Linked DNA regions of Arabidopsis thaliana. The protein of the gene in region 2 interacts with the protein of the main gene of each other region in a biochemical or structural test. Each region holds a gene or a part of one and is shown on either strand. Other genes may lie near its edges.

The links.
Region 1: the proteins of AT2G16250 (region 2) and AT1G56140 form a complex in vitro, tested with the Arabidopsis thaliana proteins (one large-scale study listed by BioGRID).
Region 3: the proteins of AT2G16250 (region 2) and SRF7 form a complex in vitro, tested with the Arabidopsis thaliana proteins (one large-scale study listed by BioGRID).
Region 4: the proteins of AT2G16250 (region 2) and AT1G56120 form a complex in vitro, tested with the Arabidopsis thaliana proteins (one large-scale study listed by BioGRID).

Annotation. Positions count from the first base shown.
Region 1 is NC_003070.9:21,001,689-21,010,003, reverse strand, and holds the start of AT1G56140 (Leucine-rich repeat transmembrane protein kinase), read left to right. Parts: upstream 1-2,148; 5' UTR 2,149-2,278; coding exon 2,279-2,399; intron 2,400-2,642; coding exon 2,643-2,829; intron 2,830-2,978; coding exon 2,979-3,050; intron 3,051-3,136; coding exon 3,137-3,208; intron 3,209-3,328; coding exon 3,329-3,400; intron 3,401-3,501; coding exon 3,502-3,573; intron 3,574-3,731; coding exon 3,732-3,803; intron 3,804-3,935; coding exon 3,936-4,007; intron 4,008-4,125; coding exon 4,126-4,197; intron 4,198-4,284; coding exon 4,285-4,356; intron 4,357-4,438; coding exon 4,439-4,510; intron 4,511-4,721; coding exon 4,722-4,793; intron 4,794-4,878; coding exon 4,879-4,944; intron 4,945-5,176; coding exon 5,177-5,242; intron 5,243-5,426; coding exon 5,427-5,471; intron 5,472-5,594; coding exon 5,595-5,656; intron 5,657-5,739; coding exon 5,740-6,122; intron 6,123-6,231; coding exon 6,232-6,430; intron 6,431-6,511; coding exon 6,512-6,670; intron 6,671-6,781; and 10 more. Other genes in the region: AT1G56145 (Leucine-rich repeat transmembrane protein kinase), read left to right, coding at 1-58, 137-295, 394-512, 617-1,140, 1,221-1,371, 1,444-1,779.
Region 2 is NC_003071.7:7,038,857-7,045,452, reverse strand, and holds AT2G16250 (Leucine-rich repeat protein kinase family protein), read left to right. Parts: upstream 1-2,098; 5' UTR 2,099-2,519; coding exon 2,520-4,486; intron 4,487-4,777; coding exon 4,778-4,903; coding exon of another isoform or gene 4,904-4,907; exon of another isoform or gene 4,908-5,031; coding exon 5,032-5,054; exon of another isoform or gene 5,055-5,139; coding exon 5,140-5,771; downstream 5,772-6,596.
Region 3 is NC_003074.8:4,781,911-4,789,151, reverse strand, and holds SRF7 (STRUBBELIG-receptor family 7), read left to right. Parts: upstream 1-1,908; 5' UTR 1,909-2,152; coding exon 2,153-2,246; intron 2,247-2,343; exon of another isoform or gene 2,344-2,737; coding exon 2,738-2,870; intron 2,871-2,954; coding exon 2,955-3,026; intron 3,027-3,121; coding exon 3,122-3,187; intron 3,188-3,271; coding exon 3,272-3,343; intron 3,344-3,421; coding exon 3,422-3,490; intron 3,491-3,565; coding exon 3,566-3,637; intron 3,638-3,748; coding exon 3,749-3,814; intron 3,815-3,902; coding exon 3,903-3,965; intron 3,966-4,046; coding exon 4,047-4,375; intron 4,376-4,466; coding exon 4,467-4,756; intron 4,757-4,843; coding exon 4,844-5,115; intron 5,116-5,201; coding exon 5,202-5,334; intron 5,335-5,434; coding exon 5,435-5,568; intron 5,569-5,670; coding exon 5,671-5,827; intron 5,828-5,905; coding exon 5,906-6,037; 3' UTR 6,038-6,042; coding exon of another isoform or gene 6,043-6,306; 3' UTR 6,307-6,395; downstream 6,396-7,241. Other genes in the region: AT3G14340 (uncharacterized protein), read right to left, coding at 6,043-6,306; AT3G14330 (Tetratricopeptide repeat (TPR)-like superfamily protein), read left to right, coding at 6,701-6,812.
Region 4 is NC_003070.9:20,986,739-20,995,274, forward strand, and holds AT1G56120 (Leucine-rich repeat transmembrane protein kinase), read right to left. Parts: upstream 6,335-8,536; coding exon 6,286-6,334; exon of another isoform or gene 6,028-6,285; coding exon 5,841-6,027; intron 5,755-5,840; coding exon 5,683-5,754; intron 5,579-5,682; coding exon 5,507-5,578; intron 5,415-5,506; coding exon 5,343-5,414; intron 5,241-5,342; coding exon 5,169-5,240; intron 5,018-5,168; coding exon 4,946-5,017; intron 4,861-4,945; coding exon 4,789-4,860; intron 4,697-4,788; coding exon 4,625-4,696; intron 4,540-4,624; coding exon 4,468-4,539; intron 4,361-4,467; coding exon 4,289-4,360; intron 4,088-4,288; coding exon 4,016-4,087; intron 3,916-4,015; coding exon 3,850-3,915; intron 3,616-3,849; coding exon 3,550-3,615; intron 3,366-3,549; coding exon 3,321-3,365; intron 3,224-3,320; coding exon 2,656-3,223; intron 2,570-2,655; coding exon 2,371-2,569; intron 2,283-2,370; coding exon 2,124-2,282; intron 2,000-2,123; coding exon 1,881-1,999; intron 1,767-1,880; coding exon 1,556-1,766; and 8 more. Other genes in the region: NOP56 (NOP56-like pre RNA processing ribonucleoprotein), read right to left, coding at 1-155; AT1G56130 (Leucine-rich repeat transmembrane protein kinase), read right to left, coding at 8,193-8,536.

The DNA.
Region 1 (8,315 bases), on a different chromosome or scaffold from region 2:
TGTATTCCTGCTCAAGGCACTTATGGGCCATTAGTCTCAGCTATCAGTGCAACTCCAGGTATACATACAGCAGAAACTTTCATGATCTTCGTAGAGTCCAATGTATCTTCTAACTAGCGGCTTTTATTCTCTGCAGATTTCATACCTACTGTAAAAAATAAGTTGCCCTCGAAATCCAAGAAAAACATTGTTATCATTGTAGGGGCTATTGTAGGAGCAGGGATGTTATGTATATTGGTGATTGCTATCCTCTTATTCATCCGTAGGAAAAGAAAAAGGGCGGCTGATGAAGAAGGTAAATGAAAAGTCTTAGCTGTGGCAGTTTTATTAAAGTCTAATCGTTAACAACTGTAACCTTCTAAGTGGTATTTATCAAATATTTCTCAAATGCAGTGCTAAACAGTCTGCACATAAGGCCCTACACCTTTAGTTACTCAGAACTCAGAACTGCAACTCAAGATTTTGATCCTTCCAACAAGCTTGGGGAGGGAGGATTTGGACCTGTTTTTAAGGTAAGACCGTACACAGAATGTGTACCAATATTGGGAGTCTAGTGTACTAGAAAGTTATGTAAAATTTTACATTATCTATATTCTAAAAATATTCATTGGTACAGGGAAAACTGAACGACGGAAGAGAGATAGCCGTGAAGCAATTGTCAGTTGCATCCAGGCAAGGAAAGGGTCAATTTGTTGCGGAGATTGCCACTATATCAGCTGTTCAGCATCGCAACCTTGTAAAATTGTATGGATGCTGCATTGAGGGAAATCAGCGCATGCTTGTATATGAATACCTCTCAAACAAGAGTCTAGATCAAGCTCTATTCGGTAAGTGCATGAGATCTTACATGTGTTATCCTTGTAAAAAAAACAAATGCTGTTACCTTACATGTTGCGTGACTGTGGCAGAGGAAAAGAGTTTGCAGCTTGGTTGGTCACAGCGTTTCGAGATATGCTTGGGAGTAGCAAAAGGTTTAGCATATATGCATGAGGAGTCAAATCCCCGTATAGTGCATAGGGATGTGAAGGCAAGCAATATTCTTCTGGACTCGGATCTGGTCCCGAAACTCTCAGATTTTGGGTTGGCCAAACTATATGATGATAAGAAGACCCACATAAGTACCCGAGTTGCAGGGACGATGTAAATATCCTGAAAACCTCACATTGGATGTGGTTTGTCAAATGGGCTAAAACTTACCGTTGTTAAATGTTATATTGCAGCGGATATCTGTCACCAGAGTACGTGATGCTTGGACATCTTACGGAGAAGACGGATGTGTTTGCCTTTGGTATAGTGGCCTTGGAAATTGTCAGCGGAAGGCCTAACTCCTCTCCAGAATTAGATGATGACAAACAATACCTTCTCGAATGGGTATATATCTAACTTTTCCTACAAACACATCCTTTTTAATTCCAAATTTGGTGAATAATTTGGTCTTTGCAGGCATGGAGCCTACACCAAGAGCAGCGTGATATGGAAGTAGTAGATCCGGATCTGACAGAATTTGACAAGGAAGAAGTGAAACGTGTAATAGGAGTAGCGTTCTTGTGCACACAAACAGATCATGCAATACGACCAACTATGTCCCGAGTGGTAGGTATGTTGACCGGTGATGTGGAGATAACGGAAGCCAATGCCAAGCCAGGGTACGTCTCTGAGAGAACATTTGAGAATGCAATGAGCTTCATGAGTGGTTCAACGAGCTCGAGCTGGATATTGCCTGAAACTCCAAAAGATTCTTCCAAGTCCCAAGTTGAAGAACATGGACGACGACATTGAAACTTGAAAACTTGTGGTTTTTCTATTTTTTGTTCTTACATAAAAAAAAAGAAGTCAATATAGAAATCGTTGTTGGTAAATAACACATATACATATTCGTTTGACCAAAATTGGATTTGACTGTTTCTCCTGAAAGTTGTGTTTGGTCCCATTTTTAACATTAAAATCCCTTAAAACCATCATTGGCATTTAGTATCAAAGTCCAAAGGTGGTGATGCTTCTTGCACTCGTAGGCAGCAGCCGCCATTGTTGAAATCTCCCGTTGACAACGCAGCGGAATCTCGGTTTAAGCGCGTCCACTTCACGGCTTGTGGATGCATCGCGTGAGACGCACTGCTCCGCGTAGTTGGTTAGACCATTAATTAAATTCAAATTAAGCCAAATGAAAAGTATCTCTTCAAAGTCCAACATAAACACCATTTTTGAACCAAATTAAAACCTTCTCCGTCTAGTTTTGGCGGCTATCATCTTCTTCTCCGTTTAATTTTAGTTTCCGACGATGCTCAGGCTATGGCGGTATCTGTGTCTACTCCTCACTGTCTGGTTCTTGTGTAATTTCGGTCCGGTTTACGTGGTTCGAGCTCAAAATCGAACAGGAGCCACCACACATCCCGACGAAGGTCTGTCTTCTTCTTCTTTGAACAACTTGACAAGTTCAAATTCAATCGATCGGATTGAAGACTGTGTAGCTAGGTCTTAAGCTACTCTTCTGATCCTAATTGATAAAACCGATGTTTACATTTATAATATTTTTTTATTTTATCCTAAGAAGTTTACCGGTTTAGTTTCAATTGACATTTTTTGTTTAGTTAATCGTATTTTGTTAAGAGCTAATAATAATTGACTGTTGTAAATAAAAACAGCGCTAGCTTTGAACTCAATTTTCGCGGCTTGGAGGATTCGGGCGCCGAGGGAATGGAACATCAGCGGCGAACTTTGCTCCGGCGCCGCTATCGACGCCAGTGTTCTCGACTCAAACCCTGCCTACAATCCTCTCATCAAATGCGACTGCAGTTTCGAAAACTCCACAATCTGCCGCATTACCAACATGTAGGGCCTCTTTCCCCCTTTTTTCTGCACCCCATTTGTTCGACGTATTCTCCCACTGGGAATTGACTTTTGTGGGGGAAACGAATGGTTTTCAATTTCATGTCTCAAATTCTTCTCCTCATTTTTGGATGTTGTTGATGTTTTCACAGCAAGGTTTATGCGATGGAAGTTGTAGGATCTATACCTCAACAACTCTGGACCTTGGAATACCTGACAAATCTGTATGGTTTTACTATCACTTGATGATTATACAATTTCAGCTACAAAAGGAGCACACATTTTCACAATTTAAAATCACTTCTTTCAGGAACTTGGGTCAAAATGTTCTCACTGGCTCACTTCCTCCTGCACTTGGAAATTTGACTCGAATGCGATGGATGTATGTCTCTGACACCTTCTTTTTTTCTTATTGTTTGTGGTGAATGTCTACACCTTTCATTGATAATGCACCCTTATAGGAACATTTCTTGTTTCTCACTCTCAATTGTTTATCACGTAGGACTTTTGGGATCAATGCGTTGTCTGGCCCTATTCCTAAAGAAATCGGTTTGCTTACAGATTTAAGATTACTGTAAGCTTAGGCTGCTTCTTCATTGTTTAAATATGATAGTGTCTTCACATTGCTTCTGGAGGATTCTGACGGTTCCTTATACACTATATATATTTCTGCAGTAGTATTAGTTCAAATAACTTTTCGGGTTCTATACCAGATGAGATTGGGAGATGTACAAAACTACAACAGATGTGAGTTTTCTGTCAATCTATAAGTGTTTATGTCTTTATATCCTTGGTTATAATTTAGATATGATTAAATATTAACCTTTGAAATCATTTAGCGATCACCGACCTCAAAATTCTAGCGCAGTTGATGACTGATGGGAAATTTCTTCCATCTATTGCAGATACATAGATAGTTCGGGACTCAGCGGGGGATTACCTGTATCATTTGCTAATCTTGTGGAGCTGGAACAAGCGTAAGACATATTGAAGTCGAATATAAGCTTTATTGTTTAACTTTAGTTGCATCTTATTTTTGTAATCTATTTATTACTTTACAATTTAGTCTTTTTTGCCGTGATGTGATTGTTTCCTTAATGTGGTACCAGTTGGATTGCGGATATGGAACTTACAGGTCAGATACCAGACTTTATAGGAGATTGGACCAAACTTACTACCTTGTAAGAAGTTTTCATTTTTACGGTTATATAATAGGCTGGTTCCATTGATCTTTTTTTTTAACCAGTCTTTTTTACATTTAAATTTGGGATTTAACGGCTGGTACGTGTTTTACTGCAGGAGAATTCTTGGAACTGGTTTGAGTGGTCCGATACCGGCGTCGTTTTCAAACTTAACTTCTTTGACAGAGCTGTATGTGTTGCATTGTTGTCATAATCATTATCGTTTTACTGTTGCTCTTCCTTTCCTTTTCTCCACATATTCATATACTATATGTAGGAGGCTTGGTGATATATCCAATGGAAATTCTTCTCTTGAATTCATCAAAGACATGAAATCTCTAAGTATATTGTAAGGCAGTTTCAACTTGAACTTCTAGGAATTGATCTGGTTCTCTCCTCCCTGTATTTAACATTTGTAATATATGTGGCAGAGTATTGAGGAACAATAATCTCACTGGGACAATACCGTCTAATATTGGAGAATATTCAAGTTTGCGACAACTGTACGTATATATGTCAATTTGTTTCTTCAAATGCTCTAGCAGCTTTTTCAGGGGTTTTTTGTTTGTAAAAAGAGTGAGATGATTTGTGAAAGTCACGAGAAATTACGAATTGATCCTATATTTCTGATTATATAATTTCTTATTTTTCCTCATTTATTGCTTAACAGGAATGGTTTGACGTTTTACCATGTAATTCATGTCTGTTTTCCAGTGATTTGAGCTTCAACAAACTACATGGAACAATTCCGGCTTCACTTTTCAACTTAAGACAGCTTACTCACTTGTAAGATGATATGTTTTCTACTTTTGGATCTTTATGTACAGCGACCCGGATTATTGTGAAAAAATAACTGTTGTCTTCATATTAGGTTTCTGGGGAACAACACGTTGAATGGCTCATTGCCCACTCAAAAGGGGCAGTCTCTGAGCAATGTGTAAGTAACAAAATCCTTTATAATTTTTCCATCTTTAAAAGCCATGTCCCCTAGTTTCTTGGACGGTTGTTAACTGATATATACTCAAGTTTCGTACACTTTTTACTCTGCATTTATTCAAGTCGAATAAGAATTCCACTCTTGGTGACACAAATGACATGCCAAGATAATTAGGAAACTATTTTGGTAACATATTCTGGCGATCCTAATTAGTGTTCTTCTATGCTTACAGAGATGTGTCATACAATGATTTGTCTGGAAGTCTTCCGTCATGGGTCAGTTTACCAAACTTGAATCTGTAAGTAAACAAAACACTATATCACGACTTATATTAACAGTGTTTTACATTCAGAAATTTCCCCACATGTATATTCATTAGACTTCTTCATATCCAGCATGAAGCTTCCTTTTTGTATGAAATTATTTATTATAATCATGTTAGAGAGAATAATATTAAACTAAACTGTATGTTCTTTGTGCAGCAACTTAGTTGCTAACAACTTCACATTGGAAGGTCTTGACAACAGGTGACTTTTTAATTAATGTTCTTGTTAGGGCTTGAAATTGCTTTCCCTTTGTTTCTCTTTTCTCTTTTTTATTTGTTGCTTGCAAATAGTTTAATCATATGTTTAATTTCTTTCTGTAAAAAGGGTTTTATCAGGACTGAACTGCCTGCAGAAGAACTTCCCATGCAATCGAGGGAAAGGAATATGTAAGTGTAACAGCAATATCCGCTTCTTGAGCAAATGTTGGAAAAAAATCCGCTAAATTTTTTCTCTTTACACTGGTGTCTAGATTCTGACTTCTCAATCAACTGCGGAGGCCCAGAGATAAGATCTGTAACTGAAGCAGTATTTGAGAGGGAGGACGAGGATCTTGGACCAGCTTCATTTGTCGTGAGTGCTGGTCAGAGATGGGCAGCCAGTAGTGTAGGACTTTTTGCCGGAAGTAGCAACAATATATACATATCTACTTCACAATCACAATTTGTCAACACTTTGGACTCAGAGCTATTTCAGTCAGCAAGACTTTCTGCATCTTCCCTAAGGTATTATGGGTTGGGTCTAGAAAATGGAGGCTATACCGTCACACTTCAGTTTGCTGAAATACAAATTCTAGGTTCTACTTCCAACACTTGGAGAGGTTTAGGAAGACGACGTTTTGACATTTATGTCCAGGTCTGCACTACTTGACCGAGCTTTCTGCTTTACAAATTAAATTTTGGTGTAATTATCTGCTTCCGACTTTTGATTCTGATGAATTCTAAGACTAGCTCACTTTTTCCAGGGAAGACTTGTTGAAAAGGACTTCGATGTACGCAGAACAGCTGGTGACTCCACTGTTCGAGCAGTTCAGAGAGAATATAAAGCAAATGTATCACAAAATCATCTCGAAATTCATCTTTTCTGGGCTGGAAAAGGAACATGCTGTATTCCTATCCAAGGGGCTTATGGGCCATTAATATCGGCCGTCGGTGCAACACCAGGTAAATAAATGGTGAATTCTTCTTGTTTTACACCATCTCCTGATGCTAGTTAGTGCTTAAGTGTTACATATTTCTGTTCAGATTTCACACCAACTGTGGGTAATAGGCCACCATCAAAGGGAAAGAGCATGACTGGTACTATTGTGGGTGTCATTGTTGGCGTTGGACTTTTGAGCATCATTTCTGGTGTGGTTATCTTTATCATCCGAAAAAGAAGAAAGCGGTACACAGATGATGAAGGTATAGATGTAAAAAGCTCTTGAACTGTAGAATTTTGGCCCTCTGATTAAAAATTAGTTATATATCATCTCTCATATTGGTCGATTTTAAGAACCGAATTGTTTCTGGCAGAGATACTTAGTATGGACGTTAAGCCTTACACCTTCACTTACTCGGAACTTAAAAGTGCAACTCAAGATTTTGATCCCTCAAACAAGCTTGGAGAGGGAGGATTTGGCCCTGTTTATAAGGTAAGTCCCTACTGAAATTTGTACATATTTGAGATATTAGGAAAGAAGAGTATATGTGTACTATCTTTTGTTTTGATATTACCTTTTGTTTTGACAATATCATTTATTGAATAATGCATTCAACAGGGAAAACTCAATGATGGAAGAGAGGTAGCAGTGAAGCTATTGTCGGTGGGATCCCGACAAGGGAAGGGACAATTTGTTGCAGAAATTGTAGCAATTTCTGCAGTCCAACATCGCAACTTAGTAAAACTTTATGGGTGCTGCTATGAAGGAGAGCATCGTTTGCTTGTATATGAATACCTTCCTAACGGAAGTCTTGATCAGGCTCTATTTGGTACGCACAGAAGCATGTTTATCGATCCATGCTTCTGCCAGGCTAAAATCACTCATTATGTACATGTCATTGGTTTGAATGTTGCAGGGGAAAAGACTTTGCATCTTGATTGGTCAACCCGTTATGAGATATGCCTGGGAGTAGCCAGAGGTCTAGTCTATCTCCATGAGGAGGCAAGGCTTCGCATAGTACACAGGGATGTGAAGGCCAGCAACATTTTGCTTGACTCTAAATTAGTACCAAAAGTTTCTGATTTTGGGCTTGCAAAACTGTACGATGACAAGAAAACCCACATAAGTACCCGGGTTGCAGGGACAATGTAAGTAACTCCCAACCCTGACCTCTGGTTTGCAACACAACTATGGATTTATAACACATGTTGGTGATTTTACTGTATCAATGCAGTGGGTATCTTGCGCCAGAGTATGCCATGCGTGGACATCTAACAGAGAAAACGGATGTATATGCCTTTGGTGTTGTGGCTCTTGAGCTAGTGAGTGGAAGGCCAAACTCTGATGAGAACTTGGAGGATGAAAAAAGATATCTTCTTGAATGGGTACGTCCATACTTCAACACTTTTTGATAATGAACACAACTTCAATGTATGTGACCATGAGAGGCTAATCTGGGTTATGCCCTTTAGCAAAAGCTGATATTGATTGTGTAACTTGTTCACAGGCATGGAATCTACACGAGAAAGGCCGTGAAGTTGAACTTATTGATCATCAGCTGACTGAATTCAACATGGAAGAAGGGAAACGCATGATTGGCATAGCCCTGCTGTGTACACAAACATCTCATGCCTTGAGACCACCAATGTCACGAGTGGTGGCCATGCTTTCAGGAGATGTTGAGGTCAGTGATGTCACTTCAAAGCCAGGCTACCTAACCGACTGGAGATTTGATGACACCACAGCCTCCTCAATCAGCGGCTTTCCATTAAGAAACACACAGGCTTCTGAATCCTTCACGAGCTTTGTGGCGCCTAGATCCGAGATATCACCGAGAAACAACGACGCTAGGCCAATGCTTGGAGCCCAGATGAATGAGGGAAGATGACAAAGACCCTATATGGTGG
Region 2 (6,596 bases):
CGTCTCCATAACCACCTTCACGACGATCACCTCCATAACCACCACCGTATCCACCTCCACCGCCACGGTTGTAACCACCTTGATCACGTCTACCTCTGTAACCACCACTTCCGTAACCACCAACCATACCACCGCGAGTACCACTACCACGAGCCTGAGCCTAGTTAACAGTAATGTTACGACCATCAAGTTCTTGACCATTCATTCTATCGATCGCAGTCCTCATGGAATCCTCATCTTTAAAAGTCACAAATCTAAACCCCTTAGACCTCCCGGTCTCACGATCAATGATGATCTGATCCAATCCATAAACCATATAAAGTCGAGATTTTTATGATACAAAGAGAGAAACAGAGCAACACAAAAACAGAGTCACACTTTAACGGACCTTGGAGTCGAAAACTTCACCAAACTCGTTGAAACACCTCTCTATAGACTGTTCATCGGTGGCCCAAGCTAAACCTCCGACGAAGCATCGATACTCGTTGTCTGCATAAGCCACGTCCAAAGATTTGAGGAAGATGATGACGACGACGGTTCTATATAGAAGCGCGAAACCATGGTTACGTTGATTCGGTGCTTAACATGCATTCAGAAATATGATTAGAACTGTGACCAAAACACTCTCTTGGACGCATGATTTGTGCCACGTCACCAGAATCGAAATAATCTTGCTCTGATCCGATGGTTTAGATTTGACGGCTTATTTTGTATGTGTGGGGTCTCACGAAGAGGACATGTGTTAGTTATATGATCTTGAACTGGAAAACACAGATACAAACAACATTTGTACTTTCGGACACGTTGGATTTATTTAATAGCGATGCGGGATATGTAACAAAAATTAGGTAGTGATGTAAATTTGTTATCCGACGAAAGATGAATAGTTCATTGCTTTTTCTTCCCGAACAAATATCCTCAATTATGACTTAACTAGCTCGAGGTTAGAGAAAACTTTTCTATGGAAATAACAGTAATTGGAACGATTAATAAAATCATATACGCAACTGTAGCATATGAAAATTAATAAACAGTTTAAGAAAATTTCACATCACTTGTTCATATATTTTGAGAAAACTTTTGAGAAATTTTTAGCTCAAGAAAAATTCATCTCTATTAATGTCTACTTAATCACTATTTTCTAAATAAACCATAGTGAGACTTTGAACTAACATAATCATTCATTTTTCAAGTAAAATTAAATAAAAAAACTAAATATTTTCATTCGATTGGCATTGTTTAAATTGAACATTCTACAATAGAGAATTTGTTTCTATCAATTTTAAACTAAACATATATCAAATTTTTGGATCATATCAAAAAAGCTAGAAAATTCAATATCATTGTTTTTTAAAAAGAATACTTCAACATCTTTACAAAATCCTATAACCGATAAATATTTCATCCAATATTTTGAAAGAAAGTTGCCAACATTTCACATGTTTTTCTAGTTGATAATTTTCTATTGTACTGTATATGATTATATGTTGTAATAAATTGTTTAAAATGCAAATGATTACAGCGGTTGAGACGGACAAATACTATGCAGATTAAACCGCTTTTAATTTACCAATCATAAATTAGAATCTATAATAATATATACTAAGAAAACTGCCGTAAACCAATCATAAACCATTTTTACATACAAATAAGATTGATCCACAACGATTTATTATCTACTTGAAAATAAAACACACTTATATTATCGATGAATTTATCTATTCTGATTGCCGTTACCATTCGAACCAAAAAATTCAGAGTATTTAGAAAATTTTAGCAAGAAAAGAAAAAGATTCCTTTATTCGGCCAAGAATGGTGAATATAGGACGTGAGATATATTACTCCTTATATATCCGAACATTAAATTTACAACAATAATAAAACAGGAAAGAAGGAAAGAAAAAATCCCAAATAGTAATTGCGGCAACAGCTTAGCTGGCTTATGGCGGGATTACCGGGAAAGTCAAACCAAACATTAAAACGACGTCACTTTACCCCACACTAGGTTTTAATTTAATCTAATTTCAAAATTATTAATTAATCAGATTTGTAATTAATAATAAATTAATTTCGAAGTTTCTTGCAAAGACGAGAGAGAGAGGAGTGTCACAGTCTACAGTTGTTATCTCAACAATCTCGATCTTCTTCTTCTTCTTCTTTCTTTCTCTCTCTAAAGATTTTTTTCACTCAACAAATCACTTTTTGTTTTGTCTGATTTTAAGGATTAGTGAAAAATTTCTACTTTTTCTTCTCATAAATTAGGATTTAGAGAGAGAGAGAGAAAGAGAAAGAGAGGTGCTTTAATGTCTGTGAAGGTAGGAGCTGTAATTGGATCCAGTAACAGAGCAAACCCAGTTCGATATCTGTCTCTTTCTTCCTCTCTAAAGATCGAAAGACGTTATTTTTATTAGGGTTGTTGAATTGGGTATTTTGCTTAAATCCTGAAAAAAATAGTCTCTGTCTCTCTCTGGGTTTGGGTGATGAGTGTTGATGGGTCATTGGATTGAGTTTGATAAGCAATGGTTGATCAAAGAAGAAGCGCATTGGGTTTTGTCTTGTTGTTGTTGTGTTTGGTACTGTTCTTCGACTGTGTTGTTGTTGGTCAAACACAGAGTCGATTCAGTGAGAAACTCATTTTGCTTAATCTCAGGTCTTCTTTAGGGTTAAGAGGAACAGATTGGCCAATTAAAGGTGACCCTTGTGTTGATTGGAGAGGTATACAATGTGAGAATGGTAGTATCATTGGGATCAATATCTCTGGGTTTAGGAGAACAAGAATTGGTAAGCTAAACCCACAATTCTCTGTTGATCCTCTTCGTAATCTAACTCGTTTGTCGTATTTTAACGCGTCCGGGTTAGCGTTACCGGGGACTATACCTGAGTGGTTTGGTGTTAGTTTGTTGGCATTGGAAGTATTGGATCTTAGTTCGTGTTCTGTTAACGGTGTTGTTCCTTTTACTCTTGGTAATCTCACTAGTTTAAGAACTTTGAATCTGTCTCAGAACAGTCTTACTAGTTTAGTTCCTAGCAGTTTAGGACAGTTGTTGAATCTATCACAGCTTGATCTCTCTAGGAACTCATTCACTGGTGTTCTTCCTCAATCTTTTAGCTCTCTGAAGAATCTGTTGACTCTTGATGTTTCTTCCAATTACCTTACTGGACCTATCCCTCCTGGTTTAGGAGCGTTATCAAAGCTTATCCATCTGAACTTTTCAAGCAATAGTTTCTCGTCTCCGATTCCTTCAGAGCTTGGTGATCTTGTCAATCTGGTTGACTTTGATCTCAGCATCAATTCATTGTCTGGTTCAGTTCCTCAGGAGCTAAGAAAGTTAAGTAAGTTGCAGCTAATGGCGATTGGCGATAACCTTTTGAGTGGTACTTTACCAGTAGATTTGTTTAGTGCTGAGAGCCAACTGCAAACTTTAGTTTTGAGGGAAAATGGTTTCTCTGGTAGTCTACCTGATGTGTGCTGGTCGTTGCCAAAATTGCGGATTCTTGACATTGCTAAGAACAACTTCACAGGACTGCTGCCATATTCTAGTTATGATTCAGACCAGATAGCTGAAATGGTTGATATCTCTTCGAACACATTCTATGGAGAGCTCACACCGATTCTTAGACGGTTCAGGATAATGGACCTCTCTGGTAATTATTTCGAAGGTAAGCTTCCTGATTATGTGACCGGGGAAAATGTGTCTGTTACAAGCAATTGCCTTCGAAATGAGAGGAGACAGAAGCCGTCAGCAATATGTGCAGCATTCTATAAGTCTAGAGGATTAGATTTTGATGATTTCGGACGTCCTAATTTGACACAACCGACATCGAAAAATGCTTCTTCAGGGATAAGCCGCAGAACAGTAATTATATTGGCAGCAGTGGGTGGTGGAGTTGCTTTTATTCTTCTTTTTGTTATCTTGCCAATTATTCTGGTTCTATGCATGCGCCATAGACGCAGAGCGGCACAAAGAGGAAATAACGACAGGCCAAAACCTGCCGGGGAAGCTTCACAACAACCACCTAAAGGAGCACAAACCTTTGATTTGTCACGTCTTGGAAATGCATTTTCTTATGAGCAGCTTCTTCAGGCAACAGAGGAATTCAATGATGCTAATCTGATAAAACGTGGTCATTCGGGGAATCTGTTTCGTGGTTTCTTGGAAAATGGTATACCCGTTGTTATAAAAAAGATCGATGTGCGGGAAGGTAAAAGTGAAGGCTATATATCAGAACTGGAGTTGTTTAGTAAGGCTGGACACCAGAGGCTGGTTCCCTTTTTGGGACACTGCTTGGAGAATGAGAGCCAAAAGTTCTTGGTATACAAGTTTATGAGACACGGTGATTTGGCTAGCTCTTTGTTCAGGAAATCCGAAAACGAAGGTGATGGATTGAAGTCTTTGGATTGGATAACAAGGTTGAAAATTGCTCTTGGTGCAGCTGAGGGACTCTCTTATTTGCATCATGAGTGTTCACCGCCTCTAGTTCATAGGTACTACTCTCCTGCTCAGCTTCTCGTAATATAATCTTGATATTTTTTAAAGCATTGACATAGCAAGACTATTGGAAGTTGTTTTGTTGATTCTGTTTTTAGTATCATATAACCTTTCATGTTCATAATTAGTAAGATCTATTCAAGAATTGTTAGTGTATAGTTTCATAGATGGAGAAGCCCAATGACATCACCTGCTCCTAAATTACTTCTTGTTGATCTATGCTCTATTGCCTGATAAGAAGAAAAGCGAGAGAACTCATGTGTGTGTTTGTGTTCAATGTTAAATAGGGATGTACAAGCAAGTAGCATACTTCTTGATGATAAATTTGAGGTACGTCTTGGAAGCCTAAGCGAGGCATATGCTCAAGGTGATGCTTATCAAAGCAGAATTTCTCGTTTACTTCGATTACCGCAGTAAGTGCTTATTACATTAACAAACTCTCTGGTCCTTTTCTGTTTTACTTTGATTCCCTAACATGACTCTGTATGTTGTCTTGGCACCTACTAATGCTTCGCTGTCTCTTCTTTTCCTATTCTTGCAGATCGAGTGAACCATCTTCTTCAGGTATACACTTAGGAGAATAAAAATTTCATCAGGATATACCATCTCCGATTAACCGATAGACATCTGATTGGTTTATTCTTTTCAGGTGTAACAAATGCAATATGTTCGTATGATGTCTACTGCTTTGGCAAAGTGTTACTTGAGCTAGTAACGGGGAAGCTCGGGATTAGCTCGCCAGACAACGCACTTGCAAAAGAGTACATGGAAGAAGCTTTGCCATACATCAGCACAAACGAGAAAGAACTAGTAACCAAGATCTTAGACCCGTCATTAATGGTGGACGAAGACCTTCTAGAAGAAGTATGGGCAATGGCTATCATTGCAAAGTCATGCCTAAACCCAAAACCAACAAGAAGACCATTAATGAGACACATTGTGAACGCACTTGAGAACCCACTGAAAGTAGTAAGAGAAGATACCAACTCGGGTTCAGGCTCTTCCCGGTTAAGAACAAACTCGTCGAGAGGGTCTTGGAACGCTGCTATATTTGGGAGCTGGAGGCAGAGTGCGTCGGATGTAACAGCTGTTCAAGCGGGAGCAACAACAAGCGGTGGTGGTGGTGGTGGTGGTGGTAATGGTTTGAGAAACTCGGGGTCGCAAGGAAGTAGCGGAAGGAACAATAACAACAACGGGAATTCATCGTCGTCGAGAAGACGGCAATCTAGTGAGATTGTACCGGAACCTGCTGCTTATGGAGTAGTAGAGGATAATTTATGATTCGTTTCATCGATTCTTTTGTGTCGATAATAACAGAGGCAAAGAGAGTCCTCAAAGGTAGCATAATGTTAGATGGGAGGAGGATTTGTTTTTTCTTTCTTTTGTTTTGTTTTTGGGTTTAGGATTGGTGGGAGTTAGAAATGTTAGTTCACTCTTTGTTTTTGTTTTTTGGTTCAAACGTGGATTTTGTAAATTGTAAAATTCTTGGAGATTGGGTTTTGTTTTCGGTTTCTTTCTTATTGAAAGACCAGAAAACAAAACAAAACAAAAAAGTTGGGTTACATTTGTTTCAGTTCCACCATTACTTATTATTCTTGTATCTGATTTCGTACGTGTGAATTTTGTTGACTATTTCATTTGCACGTGGCAAGCTTTTGATATGTATTTGGACAAAAAGTGAAAGGAAAGATACTTCTTCCTTTTGTTGGATCTGATTTCGTACGTGTGAATATTGTTGACTAGTTCATTCGCACGTGGGAAGCTTTTGATTCATATTGGGACAAAAAGTAAAAATAAAGGTTCTACCGAGAATTGAACTCGGGTTACTGGATTCAGAGTCCAATGTCCTAACCGCTAGACCATAGAACCATTATGTTTAGAGACGTAAACTTATAATATATATACGTATGAACCAAAATGTTGAAGTTGTAGGATTTTTGGTCTGAGTTACCTGTAATTATATTTAATTATTTCATACACTGAACTTAATTTGAAAATTACAACATTACAAACAAAAATTGAAATTCTAATGAGTTACTTTTGCCAAATCTATCATGGTTAGAAACTTAGAATGATTAAATAGCTAAACTATATCCCAATATATAA
Region 3 (7,241 bases), on a different chromosome or scaffold from region 2:
CTTTGGCTATTGTCATTAGAATGTACCTAATACCTACTCCATGATAACCCTATACATCTTAAAGCTTATACATGAACTCAAAATGACTAACAATGACACAAAACAAAAAAGAAAAAATATAACAAAAATTAGGCTGACGAGATTATTTTTGTCATCAGACTAATAGTTGTAGAAACACGTCCTTCATTGAAGCTAAGCTAACTTGTTTGTATTTCGTTTTTTTTTTCTTTTCTACTTTGTTCTTAATATCTGTTATAAACAAATTTAGTTGTCAATTTTAATTAATAAATCTCTGAAAACAATTATATATGCCGGAGAGATACATCATATCTTTCGTTTTATATATTTATACTATCAGTGTCACCCCTTCTTGCTGGCACACGCTTGGCTTCAAGCCTCGATTGATCTATTCATCTACCTAAATTCTAACATAATTCAGTTTAAACAAAATTTCAAATTATTTCATTTACCTATATAATTAAAAACTAGTATTTTCTAAATTTAATAATACCAGGGATCCAAATACACCATTAATATGATAAAACGAATTGTAGGAAAATATGGATAGATCATAGATGTGGGCAATAGTGTTATTAAATACTCATCATTCATCAAAACATTAGTTTTGTTTTTTTGTTAAAGAAAAAAATTAGTTTCTACTATTATTCTTAAATGCAAAATAAAAACCCCACATCATTTTATTTTATTTTGTCTCGTCGGTGCCTTAGAAAACTAATATCCAAACACGTATTTTTTCGCGGGTCAAATATCAAGAACAAGTTAATTAATTAAATTGATAAGAAAGCGAACATACACGAAGAAATTTTCAACGAAGACATTACTAAGGAGATGAGAGGCAAACCACGTACAATGACCGATTAACACGTTTTAACCAAACTAATCGCTCACATAAAACTGGGACAATCTAAACTAAATGATTGATTATCGATGATGTAACTTTTTGTTTGACAATAATTTGGAAGTTAACGAAATGCTGAAGATTAAGATGCATCACTTAACTAATATCGTAAATATTTTTTCTTGGTCGTTGCTAAGTTATCTTTTCTCATACATTACAAACTATCAAATTACTTAAATTTATATATCCGTCCCTCTCTAATAGAAATTAGAAAAGGTCATACATATTTGCTACAAGAATCTCGTGAGTTTCTTTAATAAGGTTTTTGTTAATTAATTATCTTATATACTCATAATTGCGACATTAATGAGTGTTTTACTCTTATTTCACCCACATGTCTCTTCTTTATAAGCAAAACAAACTACCTTTTTCTGCACAAACAAACTAACTTTTAATATAGTAAAAAACAATTTAACCTTTTTCACTCTATTTCCTTTTTTCATTCCACTTAGATGTGAAGGGAAAGTAATTAATTCTTCAAAGCAATGATGGAAAGACCCAATCCTAAACCAATCTTCAAAGTAATCTATACTGTATGAAAGCTTCGTTTCTGTTTTTCTTACTATACAAATGAATTAATTCAGTATATGAATATTTCGTACATAAAAAGGAAATTAAAATACAGAAAAGAAAGAAGAATATACAAACCTTTAAAAGCGCGTAGGCCTTATGAAAACTACAGCTAGTTATTATTAAATTTGTATTTATTTGTATTTTTTGTTTTCTTTTAATTTGTGGGAATAAGAGAAATGCATAAAAACCAAAAAAAGACAATGCGTCAGACCATAACCATGATACACCAACCAAGATTAATTGTTTTATGGACAAAATTAAAAAGAAAAATTAGCATTTTAAGTGTAGCATTATGTCATTAACTAATATTAAATGGTAATTATTAGTACTAATTAATAAACAAATGTAGATAAAAAAGTATATGGAAGAAATAAATAAAATAATCCAAAGCAAAGCAAAGCAAAGCGCCGAAGCCTATTTGTATGGCTCTTGGATTCTTACTTATAGCAAATCGTGCTTGCCAGCTTTTTACTCGATAAATTCGTCTTATGGCTGAAACTGTATAAAATCTAGCTTATCAAAATTTATCCTCAAAGTTTATTAAATTAATAATAAAAATCTCTGAAGAAAAGTTTGGGTTTTTGCCATTTGGGTTTTCTTCTGTCTCATCTGGTTTTCGAGAGAGATAGAGAAAGTGAGACAAGGTTAAGGAGGAAGAAGATGACTGAGAATCGGGTGGTTTTGGCTCTGCTTATACTCTGCATTGTTGGGTTTGAGCCAAGTTTCATCCATGGAGCTACGGATTCATCAGATAGTGAGTTTCACTTTTCATTTTTTCCTCTTTGAAGAATCTTTTAAAAAGTCTCGATCTTTTCAGGTGTTTAATCCATCATTTTGTGTAGTCTTATTGATGATTCTGGGTTTATGTTTTCATCTACAACTTTTGATTTCTTCATAATCATCCCAAGCTAAAATAATAACCCTTTCTGTCATAATGTTCTTTTCTTCAAAACAGGTTTTGTTTCGACCAAATGAGTTTTCTTTTTAACCCCAAATCTCAAACCTTTCTCCTTTTTCACACACTTTATGTTTTGTTTTTCTTTTTGTTCCTTTCTTGTGTGTTTGTTCTCTTTTCTGGGTTTTTTCTTTGTTGTTGTTAATTCTCAAGCATTTCATTAACACCTAGTTCATAAAACCCAAATGATCTCAAATCTTGGATCTGCTTCATGTAACCGACAAAAAATCAAGATGATTATGATGGTTTGGAATAGTTCACTTATGGTCTCTGGTTCTTAATATGTGCAGCTTCGGCGTTAAACATCATGTTCAGCTCCATGAATTCTCCAGGACAGCTCTCACAATGGACAGCATCAGGAGGTGATCCTTGTGGCCAAAACTGGAAAGGCATAACTTGCTCTGGCTCTCGAGTTACACAAATGTAATCACTTTTTAATCATAATTCAATATCACTTTGTTTTCTTCTTTTCTTGTATCCATGCTTAATACATGTATCTACTTGCAGAAAGTTACCAAGTCTTGGACTTTCTGGATCACTTGGATTCATGCTTGATAAATTGACTTCTGTTACTGAGTTGTAAGATTTATCTTCCATGATTCTCCAAAGTTTCTACTTTTGTGTATTTAGTGGTGTGGCTTATACTCATGGATTGTTTTTGGTGAAACCTGCAGTGATATGAGCAACAATAACCTTGGAGGCGATTTGCCTTATCAGCTTCCTCCAAACTTGGAGCGATTGTATGTTTGATGATTCTCTCTGTTATATGTTCTACAAATTTCTATGTTTGTTTTGCAAGTTGATCAATTTCTGTATTTGTCTAGGAATCTTGCTAATAACCAGTTCACTGGATCTGCTCAATATTCCATTTCTATGATGGCTCCTCTTAAGTACCTGTAAGTTCTTCAGTTGTTTATTCTCAAACATATCTTGGAGAAAGAATGGTTATTTAATGCTCCATTGTTTTTGTCCAGCAACCTTGCTCACAACCAGTTGAAGCAGCTAGCTATTGACTTCACAAAACTCACCTCTCTCTCTATATTGTAAGATCCTTTTTTCCTGAGTCAAAGGAATAAGTTAATAAACAAATGTTTTGACAAGATTTTGTGTGTTTTCAGGGACCTCTCTTCCAATGCTTTTATAGGGTCTCTCCCAAACACTTGTAGCTCTCTTACGAGTGCAAAATCAATGTAAGACTCCTATAAGTAGGTCTCTATGTATTGATAAATAAAAACTCCCTGTAAGTGAACCAGTTAAAGTTAATACTTAGTTACTAACATTGTGCTTTTTCAACTTCACAGTTATCTTCAGAACAATCAGTTCTCAGGCACCATTGATATTCTAGCCACCCTTCCTCTCGAAAATCTGTGGGTAACTTAAGCTTATCCATTTTTAGGAATTTATCTCCTGTAGACACCACTTGAATGTTGTTCTTGCTGAATGCTTCCTCCTCAGGAATATTGCAAACAATCGGTTCACAGGCTGGATCCCTGATTCTTTGAAAGGCATTAACTTGCAGTAAGTGTTGCATTCCTTTCTTCGATTCTTCGATCTTTTCTCTAATCTCACTAATTTTTTCCTGAATGATCTTGAAAACAGAAAAGATGGCAATTTATTAAATTCCGGGCCTGCACCTCCACCACCTCCTGGTACACCACCGATCAGTAAATCATCACCTACTCCGAAATCCGGGAACCGTGGAAACCGTTCCAATGGTGATTCCAGCAATAGCAAAGACTCCAGCAAATCAGGGCTTGGAGCTGGTGGAGTAGCAGGAATAGTCATTTCTTTGATAGTTGTAACAGCAGTCATAGCTTTCTTCTTGATCAAGAGAAAAAGATCAAAGCGGTCATCATCCACGGACATTGAAAAGACTGATAATAACATTAACCAACCCATTATACTAGCGTCCAATGACTTTCATCAAGGTAATAACTCATTAAACTTTTTTTATTGTCAAAAAGTATTATACATCAAATAATCTTATGGTTTTCTAACTATGTAATCATCTGGTTGCAGAGAATAAGTCTGTACAGAATCCACCATTGGTTGAGACAAAGAAACTGGATACGTCATTGTCGATGAATCTACGTCCTCCACCATCTGAGCGACATAAGTCGTTTGATGACGATGATTCAACAATGAGAAAACCTATTGTTGCAAAGAAAGCTGCTGTTGTTGTTCCTTCAAATGTGAACACATATACGGTTTCAGATCTTCAAGTAGCTACCAACAGTTTCAGCGTAGATAATCTTCTCGGTGAAGGAACATTTGGAAGAGTATACAGAGCTCAGTTTGAAGATGGAAAGGTATTTAATTTTATATAATCCTCCTCTACTTGTAAGAGCACAATGTCATAATATTCTGCTACTGAGATATTTTCTTTGATCTACTAGGTACTTGCTGTGAAGAAAATCGACTCATCTGCGCTTCCCACGGATACTGCTGATGATTTTACCGAAATTGTATCGAAAATAGCGCATTTGGATCACGAAAATGTCACAAAGCTTGATGGTTACTGTTCTGAACACGGGCAACACTTGGTGGTCTATGAGTTCCATAGAAACGGCTCATTGCATGACTTTTTACATCTTGCAGAAGAGGAAAGCAAACCGTTGATATGGAATCCCCGTGTCAAGATCGCTCTTGGCACTGCACGTGCATTGGAGTAAGTCTTTAAACATCTCAATCACATTATTGCTCAATATAATAGCATGCAGCAGAGTCTCATGGAAAGTATTGTTGTTGTTGCAGGTACTTGCATGAAGTTTGCTCACCATCTATAGTCCACAAGAACATTAAATCAGCAAATATTTTACTTGACTCAGAGCTGAATCCACACCTCTCAGACTCAGGTCTCGCTAGCTTCCTTCCCACTGCAAACGAGGTATATATAGTATAGACTAAACTTCTCAGAATTCTAGTATCTCTCTCTCTCTTTTGTTCCTCCATGGAACTTGTTCCTAAGTATTCATGACATTGTGCAGCTACTAAACCAAAACGATGAAGGATACAGCGCACCAGAAACTTCAATGTCAGGCCAATACTCTTTGAAGAGCGATGTTTACAGTTTTGGAGTAGTGATGCTCGAGCTTTTAACCGGAAGAAAACCATTCGACAGGTACTTTTACAATCCATATCCCTCGCCTTCCTAAAAAAACTTAAGAGTGATGCAAATGTGTTCAGAATTGAAGTAAGTCCTGGTGATTGTTGTGTGTGACAGCACAAGGTCAAGATCGGAACAATCATTGGTAAGATGGGCAACACCTCAGCTTCACGACATTGATGCTTTGGGCAAAATGGTTGATCCAGCTCTCAAAGGGCTATACCCGGTTAAATCCCTCTCCCGATTTGCAGATGTTATCGCCCTTTGCGTCCAGGTAATCATCTATATATTATAATGTGATGATCTGAACAAATGAAATCTGAATGTATATTGTTCTTTTAATCTGTTACAGCCGGAGCCAGAGTTTAGACCACCCATGTCTGAAGTGGTGCAAGCATTGGTTGTATTGGTGCAGAGAGCTAACATGAGCAAGAGAACTGTTGGAGTCGGCTCCGGTAGCTCCGGCGTCAATGATTACATGTAAATTCTTTACCTGATGAGAACCAACAAAAAAAAACATAAAAATTTGCCCTTTTTCTCTTGTCTGCTCGGAATCTGGATGGGACGACAACAAGTGACAACCGAGGACAGACAAAACAAAACAAAATCCTTTTTTTCTTTCGGTTTCATAAAACTGATGATGAGAGAATAACAACAACAACCCTTCACGCATTGTACACTCCCATGTTTCTTTGTAATTTGTTCCCAATTTGTAGCTTTTTTTTTAGATTCCGACAACATGAACAAAACCATTCCCTTTTGTGAGTTCCGATCCAAAAACGGTATTATTCCATTTGTAATTTTTTCCTTGTTTGAATAAATTTTATGTTAATAAAGTGGAATATGATCGATTACAATTTGTGTAAATCTGCTGCTGAATTGCTAAAGCTTAAACAGCAACGGTCGTTCTAAATTTCAACAATCTTTGGACTTTCACCGGCAATCAAGGCGACGACGGAACCGTAAGAGCGTAAATCCACGTAATATTAGAAACCCGACCGGAAACACGCTAGTGACACGTGGATTTGTCACGTGGACACTTTTTATGACACGTGGTAGATAAATCGACTATACTATGCACACCTCACGTTTGAATCAAAACCATATAATATACACGATTTCTTGAATGAGGGTAGAAATAATTAGAATGATGATCGGGAAGTTGTGGAGATCTGTGGGAACCGTCGGAAAGTTTGATGGTCGTTACGACGGCGTGAGGACGATGGTTGGAAAAGCCTCGAACCGAGCTGGTGTTCATGGTTCGAAACTTCCCAACGCTAAAGCACTTGACAATGTAACCAATTAGTTGAGGTTTCATAATCTCATTTTTGTTTGTTTGTCATAGTAATCATGAAATTAAATTATTCTAATGCGTAGGAGGAAGAGATCAGGGAGAGGATTAGTAAAGGCAGCGAAGACAAAGAACAGAAAAGAAAAGAGGTTGAGAAAAAAGTTGAAGGCTCTCAAAGAGGATCTAACGGCGAAGATGCACCATCCTCCGACCGGTGATGACGGGTCTTGGTTTTTTTTTATCCTGCTTAATCTCTTCAATATGCATTGTGTAATAGTAATCTTTGTTTCTTCGAATCTTATTGCTGCGCTTAGTATTTCTAATTTTGTGGTCTCGAATAAAAGAAAAATAAAATATAATATATACATCTACCGGGACTTAAAAGCCCAAATATTAA
Region 4 (8,536 bases), on a different chromosome or scaffold from region 2:
GGATGAAACGCTGTGAGCTGAACAACACGGCCAAAGCGACTGAGGTCGGAGACAGAAGTCCGAACCGCCTCAGTGTTCTGTCCGATCTCATCTAGTCCGTGAACCTCGAAGAGACCATAGCCGGAAGAAGACTCGTAGATAACATACATCGCCATTTTTTGAGGAGAAGAAACTAAAACCCTAAAGACCTACTGAGCGAGAAGAAATATACAACGAACGAAACTAGGGTTTCAGGGGTTTAATAAGCGCATCTGTTGATGGCGCTGCTCTTGAAAAATTCAATGGGCCAGGCCCATTTAACGGTGTGTTAGTTGTACTAGCTTATAAAATGCCCGGCCCATCACAACAGGTTAACTTTCTTTTTTTTTTTTTTTTTTTTTTTTTTTGGTCATCCTTGCAAGATATCAAAAGTTTGTTACAAAAATTGAAAAATTGTCAACTAAAATATTATTATTGAATGAAAGTGAAATCTGTTTCTCCACATCCTTATATAGAAGAAAATTGTCAACTTCCATATACAAGCATATCAAATTATAGAGGGGACAATCTTCATCTTCCCTCCTTGATCTTGAATCCAACCATTGGCTTCGATTCGCCGTCTCTAAGTGGCATCTCCGGGCCAGGCGCTATAAAGCTCGTCGAGAAGCTAGTGTCTTTCGTTTGAAAGTTGCTGAATGAGGAGCTTGTGGTGTCATCAAATGTACAGTCGGTTAGGTAGCCTGGCTTAGAGGTGGCATCATTGACCTCAGCATCTCCTGACAACATGGCTACTACTCGTGACATTGGTGGTCTCAACGCATAAGATGACTGAGTGCAAAGCAGAGCAATGCCAATCATGCGTTTCACTTCTTCCATGTTGTATTCACTTAGCTCATCATCTATTAGTTCAACGTCACGGTTTTTCTCGTGTAGATTCCATGCCTGTATACAAGAAATACAAAAGGATTATCGGCTTTTGTCATTTATCACACCATCTTCAACTTCGCCTATATGACAAATATAGACGTACCCATTCAAGAAGATATTTTTTTCCCTCTTCCAGGTTCTCATCAGAGTTTTTCCTTCCACTCACTAGCTCAAGAGCCACAACACCAAAGGCATACACATCTGTTTTCTCTGTTAGATGTCCACGCATGGCATACTCTGGCGCAAGATACCCACTGCATTGATACAACTAACATGAGCTATAAAGCCATAATTGTGTTGCAAACAAAATGTCAGGGTCTATGGATTTTGCTTACATCGTCCCTGCCACTCTGGTACTAATATGGGTTTTCTTGTCATCATATAGTTTTGCAAGCCCAAAATCAGAAACTTTTGGGACCAGTTCAGAGTCCAGTAAAATGTTGCTGGCCTTCACATCTCTGTGTATTATGCGAACACTTGCTTCCTCGTGGAGATAAACTAGACCTCTGGCTACTCCCAGACATATCTCATAACGGGTTGACCAATCAAGATGCAAACTCTTATCCCCTGTAACATCCAACCCAATGGCATAATGATTACTTTAGCTTGGCAGAAGCAGAGATAGGTAAGTCATGTTTCTGTTCATTACCAAATAATGCCTGATCGAGACTTCCATTAGGGAGATACTCATATACGAGCAAACGATGATCTCCTTCAAAGCAGCACCCGTAAAGTTTTACTAGGTTGCGATGTAGAACTGAAGAAATTGCAATAATTTCTGCAACAAATTGTCCCTTCCCTTGCCGTGATCCAATTGACAACTGCTTCACCGCCACCTCTCTTCCATCATTGAGGTTTCCCTGTTGAACGTGTTATTCAAAACAAAACGTATTAAAAGGTATTACATGTACCCTTCTTTCCTAGTATCTCAGAAAAATATACAGCTATTTTGTTCGATTCAGTAAGGGACTTACCTTATAAACAGCCCCAAACCCTCCCTCTCCAAGCTTGTTTGAGAGATCAAAATCTTGTGTTGCATTCTTAAGTTCCGAGTAAGTAAAGGTGTAAGGCTTTACGTCCATACTAAGTATCTCTGCCATAAAAAATTCACTACTTAAAATCAACCAATTTAACAGATGATAGTCAACTTTAATTTTGATCAGAGAGCTAAAGTTATTCAGCTCAAGGGCTTGTTTATGTTCTTATTACATCTGTACCTTCATCATCTGTGTACGGTTTTCTTCTTTTTCGAATGACGAGGATAACCACACCCGCAAAGATGCTCAAAAGTCCAACACCAACAATGACACCCACAATAGTACCAGTCCTGCTCTTTCCCTTTGATGGTGGCCTATTAGCCACAGTTGGTGTGAAATCTGAACAAGAATATGTGACACGGCACTAACTAGTATCGGGAGATAGTGAAAATCAGAGGAAAAAAAATATATCAACCGTTTGTGTTACCTGGTGTCGCACTGACGGCCGCTATTAATGGCCCATAAGCCCCTTGGATAGGAATACAACATGTTCCTTTTCCAGCCCAGAAAAGATGGACTTCGAGATGATTTTCTGATACATTTGTTTTATATTCTCTCTGAACTGCTCGAACCGAAGAGCCACCAGCTGTTCTGCGTATATCAAAATCCTTTTCAACAAGTCTTCCCTGGAAAAATGGAGCTAGATCTTAGAATTCATCAGAACCAAAAAGTAACATTTGTGAACCGGAAAGCTCGATCAAGTGGTGCAGACCTGGACATAAATGTTAAAACGTCGTCTTCCAATACCTTTCCAAGAGTTAGAACCTTCAATTTGTACTTCAGCAAACTGAAGTGTTACGGTGTACCCTCCATTTTCTAGCCCCAACCCATAATACCTTAGGGAAGATGCAGAAAGTCGTGCTGACTGAAAAAGCTCTGAGTCCATAGTGTTGATAAATTGTGCTAGTGAAGTAGCTATGTATATATTGTTGCTACTGCCAGCAAAATTTCCTACACTACTGGCTGCCCATCTCTTTGCAGCACTCACAACAAACGAAGCTGGTCCAAGATCCGCGTCCTCCTTTTCAAATAGTGCTCCACTAACAGACCTTATCTCTGGGCCTCCGCAGTTGATCGAAAAGTTATAATCTAGACACCAGTCAATAGCGAAAGTCTTAAAACAATTTTTTTCCAATAAGACATTGGAGCCCTGTCCATATGTTTGCACATTCAACATGGAGAACATAATTTGTGAGGGTATCTTTTTGTTACACTTACAGATTCCTTCGCCTCGATTGCAGGGGAAGTTCTTCTGCAGGCAATGTAGTCCTGATAAAACCCTTTTAACAACAAAAAAAGATTTAAGAAAGAAATGATAAATCGTTTATGCTTGCATCCTTTTGTAGGAAAAGAATAGAAATATATACAAAAACTCACCTGTTGTCAAGACCTTCCAGTGTGAAGTTGTTAGCAACTAGATTGCTGCACATATAACAAACGCTTCTGTTTATTATTCCCTAACAAGTGATTATAATAAACTTTTACGACAAAGAGGAAGTCTCATGCTGCATATGAAGAGGCCTAATGAATATGCATGTGGGAAAAATTCTGAAATTTTAAAAAGGCTCTGAAGATAAGTTGAGATATAATGTTTTTCTTTACTTACAGCTTCAAATCTGGTAAGCTGACCCATGAAGGAAGACTTCCAGACAAATCATTGTACGACACATCTCTGTCAGCATAAAAGAAAAATACAGTTAGGATCTACCGACTATATTATATGTCCAAAACAGTTTCTTAATATCTTGGCAAGTTATCTGTGTCACCAGGAGTGGAACCTTATTCAACTTGAATAAGTGCCCCGTAAATAGTGTACGAGCCATATTAGGAGGATCTGTCAACAAACCGTCCAAGAAACGTTGTGGCTTTTAAAGATGGAAAAATTATAAAGGATTTCGTTACTCACAAATTGCTCAGAGACTGCCCCTTTAGAGTGGGCAAGGATCCATTCAACGTGTTGTTTCCCAGAAACCTAATATGAAAAGACAAACGATTTTTTTTTATAAAATGATCCGTGTAGTTATATAGTAAGACCCAAAAGAAGCAGAAAACATATCATCTTAGTATCTTACAAGTGAGTAAGTCGACTTAAGTTGAAAAGTGAAGCCGGAATTGGTCCATGTAATTTGTTGAAGCTCAAATCACTGGAAGACAAACATGAATTAAACGGTAAAACATGAAACAATTTCTGTTTTCTAATGAATGAGGAAGTATACGAAATTATATTATCAGCAGTTTAAGATCATTTCGTGTTCTTTCTGTGACTTTCACAAATCATCTCACTCTTTTTGACCCTGAAACAGCTTTCAGAGCATGTGAAGAAAAACACTGACATATGTACTTACACTTGTTGCAAACTTGTGTATCCTCCAATAGTAGACGGTATTGTCCCAGTGAGATTGTTGTTCCTCAATACTCTGCAACAAATATCATAATTGCTAAATACAGGAGGAGATAGAAACAGCTCAACAGTACATTAATCTGATCATAAATTGGAGGAGGAGTTGAATCAAAGCTGCCTTACAATACACTTAGAGATTTCATGTCTTTGATGAAATCAAGAGAAGAGCTTCCATTGGATATATCACCAAGCCTCCTACATATAGAATATGAATATGTGGACAAAAGGAAAGATAGAGAAACAGTAAACAATAATGATTCTGACACAATTTAACACATACAGTTCTGTCAAAGCAATTAAGTTGGAAAATGACGACGGTATTGGGCCGCTCAAACCAGTTCCGAGGATCCTCCTGCAGTAAATTGTACCAGTCGTATATTCCCAATTTAGATACAATGAAGAATTATTCCACTATATTACTCCGTATAAATGAAATCTCCTTACAAGGTAGTAAGTTTGGTCCAGAATCCTATAAAGTCTGGTATCCGACCTGTAAGTTCCACATCCATAATCCAACTGGTACAACATTAAGGAAACAATCACCCCAACGCAAAAAACTAAAATGTAAAGTAGTAAGTAGATTATAAAAATTATATCTTACGCGACTTCCAACTCCACAAAATTAGCAAATGATAAAGGTATTCCTCCGCTGAGTCCAGAACTATCGATGTACCTGTAATAGATGTAAGAAATTTTTAAGAATAACAGATGCACAAGACTTTTGTGGTCGACGAACACTAAAGAGTTTCAGACGTTAAGGTTTCATATCTAAATTATAACTAGTCAATAACATAAGCACTTATGGATTTGACAGATAGACTCACATTTGCTGTAGTTTTGTACAACTCCCAATCTCAGCTGGTAAGGAACCGGAAAAGTTATTTGAACTAATACCACTGCAGAAAATATATATAGCTATAAAGAACCATCAAATCCTCTCCATAAGCAGAGTGAAGACATGTTCAAATATAGATAATGAGGAAGCAGCCAAAGCTTACAGTAATCTTAAATCCGTAAGCAAACCGATTTCCTTAGGAATAGGGCCAGACAACGCGTTGATTCCAAAAGTCCTACATTTGAGCATGGGAGACAAACAATTGTTAATTGAACTTGTATAAAATTATCAAAAAAGAAAAAGAAACAAGGTTTCAGAGGCTTTTACATCCACTGCATCCGAGTCAAATTCCCAATAGCAGGAGACAGTGAGCCTGTGAGATAATTTTGACCTAGGTTCCTGAAAGATGTGTGTTTTTGATGACCATTGGATCAGTTAAGAGTCTCAACATATATATACTTGTGAATATAAAAAGTGGGTAAGTGGGTTGTATGGAACTATACAGATTGGTGAGGTATGTTAAGGTCCAGAGCTCTGGAGGTATAGGTCCTACAACATCTATCGCATAAACCTTTCTGAGACAACAACAAACAAAATTGAGACTCAGTGGGAGAATTCGTCGAACATATGGAGTGCATAAAAAGTGGGAAAGAGGTGTAACATGTTATTTATGCGGCAGATTGTGGAGTTTTGGAAACTACAGTCGCATTTGATGAGAGGATTGTAGGCATGGTTTGAGTCGAGTACACTGGCGTCGATGGCGACGCCGGAGCAAAGTTCGCCGCTGATGTTCCATTCCCTCGGCGCCCGAATCTTCCAAGCCGCGAAGATGGAGTTCAAAGCTCGCGCTGTTTTTATCCAACATAATTCACAACGGTCAAATTATTATTAGCACCCCTTAATCTATTACGCTTAACTAAACAACTAGTATTAATTAATTGAAACTATATATTAACTGAACTAAGAAACTCATTCTATTGACAAGATGCATTTTATTTGTTTTTTCGTTAGTGGGGTTTATTACAAAGAAGAAGCTAGCTATTACAAACTACAAATCCAGTCGATAATTGGTGACTAAACTTTTGTCAAGTGTTGAAAAGACAGACCATCGTCGGGATGAGTAGTGGGTCTGGTTCGGTTTTGGGCTCGAACCATCACGTGAACCAAACCGGAACAACACAAGAACCAAACGGTTAGGAGCAGAAACAGAGATCTACGTAGCCTGAGCATTTCAACAGATATAACTTTGGTTCAGAAAAACAAGACCACTATGAGTGTGTTTATAAAGAGATTTGCCGATCAGCGAATGGGCTCTCTGTTTTCTCTGTATAGAGACGTTAATGGCTATCAGGCTATGATTGCTATGGTTCGTAGAGTTGGAAAATTCTTCCTTCTTCACCACTACACTACTTCACATAATAATATAAAAACAATGTTGTCTTCTTCTTTTTTTAGTCTCCACACTCTATAGCAGAGAGAAGACTTAATTACTAGTACTATGAGAGAAGACTTACTATGAAATCTTCCCACTTGTTGACACACAGCCAAGAGAATTAGTGTAACTGATCAACAATGTAAGATTGACTATAAACGAAACTTCGAGTTTCAAGTCGTCGTCCATTTTCAACCACTTGAGATTTTTTTCTTCTTTTTTGATAAAAAGGGGACTTGAGACTTAAGGATTATTTGGTAAGTCTCCTTTAGATATGCCAATATCCATTTAGTGCTCGTGGAACCCACTCATGAAAGTGATCTTAATCATTATTTCCTTTTGAATTCCAAGACATAACACATGATTACATATCAAGGAAGGAAGAAGTTGCTACGGAAGAGTCAATCACCTTTAGAGACTGCACCGGTTGATTTGGTTAAAGACTTAAAACGACATGAATAGTGCGAGCCCCATCACGACCGGTTAGAGATCCACTCCAAGTCCAACTTAGAGCTACTAAAATATTTTTATTGAATCAAAGAAGTATTTTATTTTTATTTTAAGTAAACGCATAGTTAAGAGTTTCGATATACAAGCAATGTTCGATTAGTTAAACGTACCGTAATGAGAGTCGTCCATGCATGCATGGCTAAACGTTGAGGTCTTTTCTTGATTCCCTTTTTGTTGTATCTCAACATCATTTGGAGATTTCTTGAGCTCTGATCCGGCTTGGGATCCTCAGTGGAACCGCTTGGAAACTGGAATAAGCTTAAGAATGCAGAAGCAGTCACTGATGCTATCATTTCAACAGTGAATAGTTAATTACGTTTCTCCCACGGTAGGTTTTGAGGACAAACGTGACATGATAAATCGTGTATTAAACTAGTGTGTAATAACCTAATATCTTCCATTAGCAGATCGATGGAGGGCCGCACAAGAGAAACTGATGCTGGAGCAATGCTATGATCTTTTGAGTTAGAGGTACATATATAGATCATTTGAAGACCTGAACTGATATGTTTCTGTTTCTGATCATAATTTGGAGAGGAGCTTCAAGTGTTTCGTCCTGATTCAACACTAATAGACTTTCAATACAAAACTTCATTTACACTAGGACTGTAAAGTATCCAATATGCTTAGCTCTGGTTTTCTCCCCCACTTATTTACACGATCTTTGCTCATGTGACGTCTACATCTTCATGACATAAGCATACATATTTGAATTGCAGCTTTGAAAATCCAGTTAGAGCTCCTGGAACCCCCACTCATGAAAGTAGTACAGAGATTATTTCATTTTTGACTCCCAAATAAAACATTACAACACATGAATATACTACAGAGTCAGTCACCTTCAGAGACTGCATTGATTTGGCTAAGTACATGAATAATGCGAGGCCCATCACTAACGGTTAAAGATCAATTTCAACTTCTAACTACTAAATTATTATTATCGAATCAAAGTGAAATCTGTTTTTCCCAATCAAAGATGAAAATTGTCAATCCCTTTTTTTTTTTGTACAAAATTGTCATCTTACATATATACAAACATCTCTATAGCCATAAATCGTAGATGATACATTGTCATCTTCCCTCATTGATCTTGGATCCAAGCATTGGCTTAAAGTCGCTGTCTCTGGGTGATATCTCGGAGCCAGGCGCCACAAGGCTCATGGAATAGCCTGTTGTGTCTTTGATTTGAAATCCGCTGAGAGATGAGCCTGTGGTGTCATCAAATCTCCAGTCGCTTACGTAGCCTGGCTTAGAAGTGACATCACCGATCTCAACATCTCCTGAAAGCATGGCCACCACTCGTGACATTGGTGGCCTCAAGGCATGAGATGTCTGTGTGCACAACAGAGCAATGCCAATCATGCGCTTTGCTTCTTCCATGTTGAAATCAGTCAGCTTATCATCGATTAGTTCAA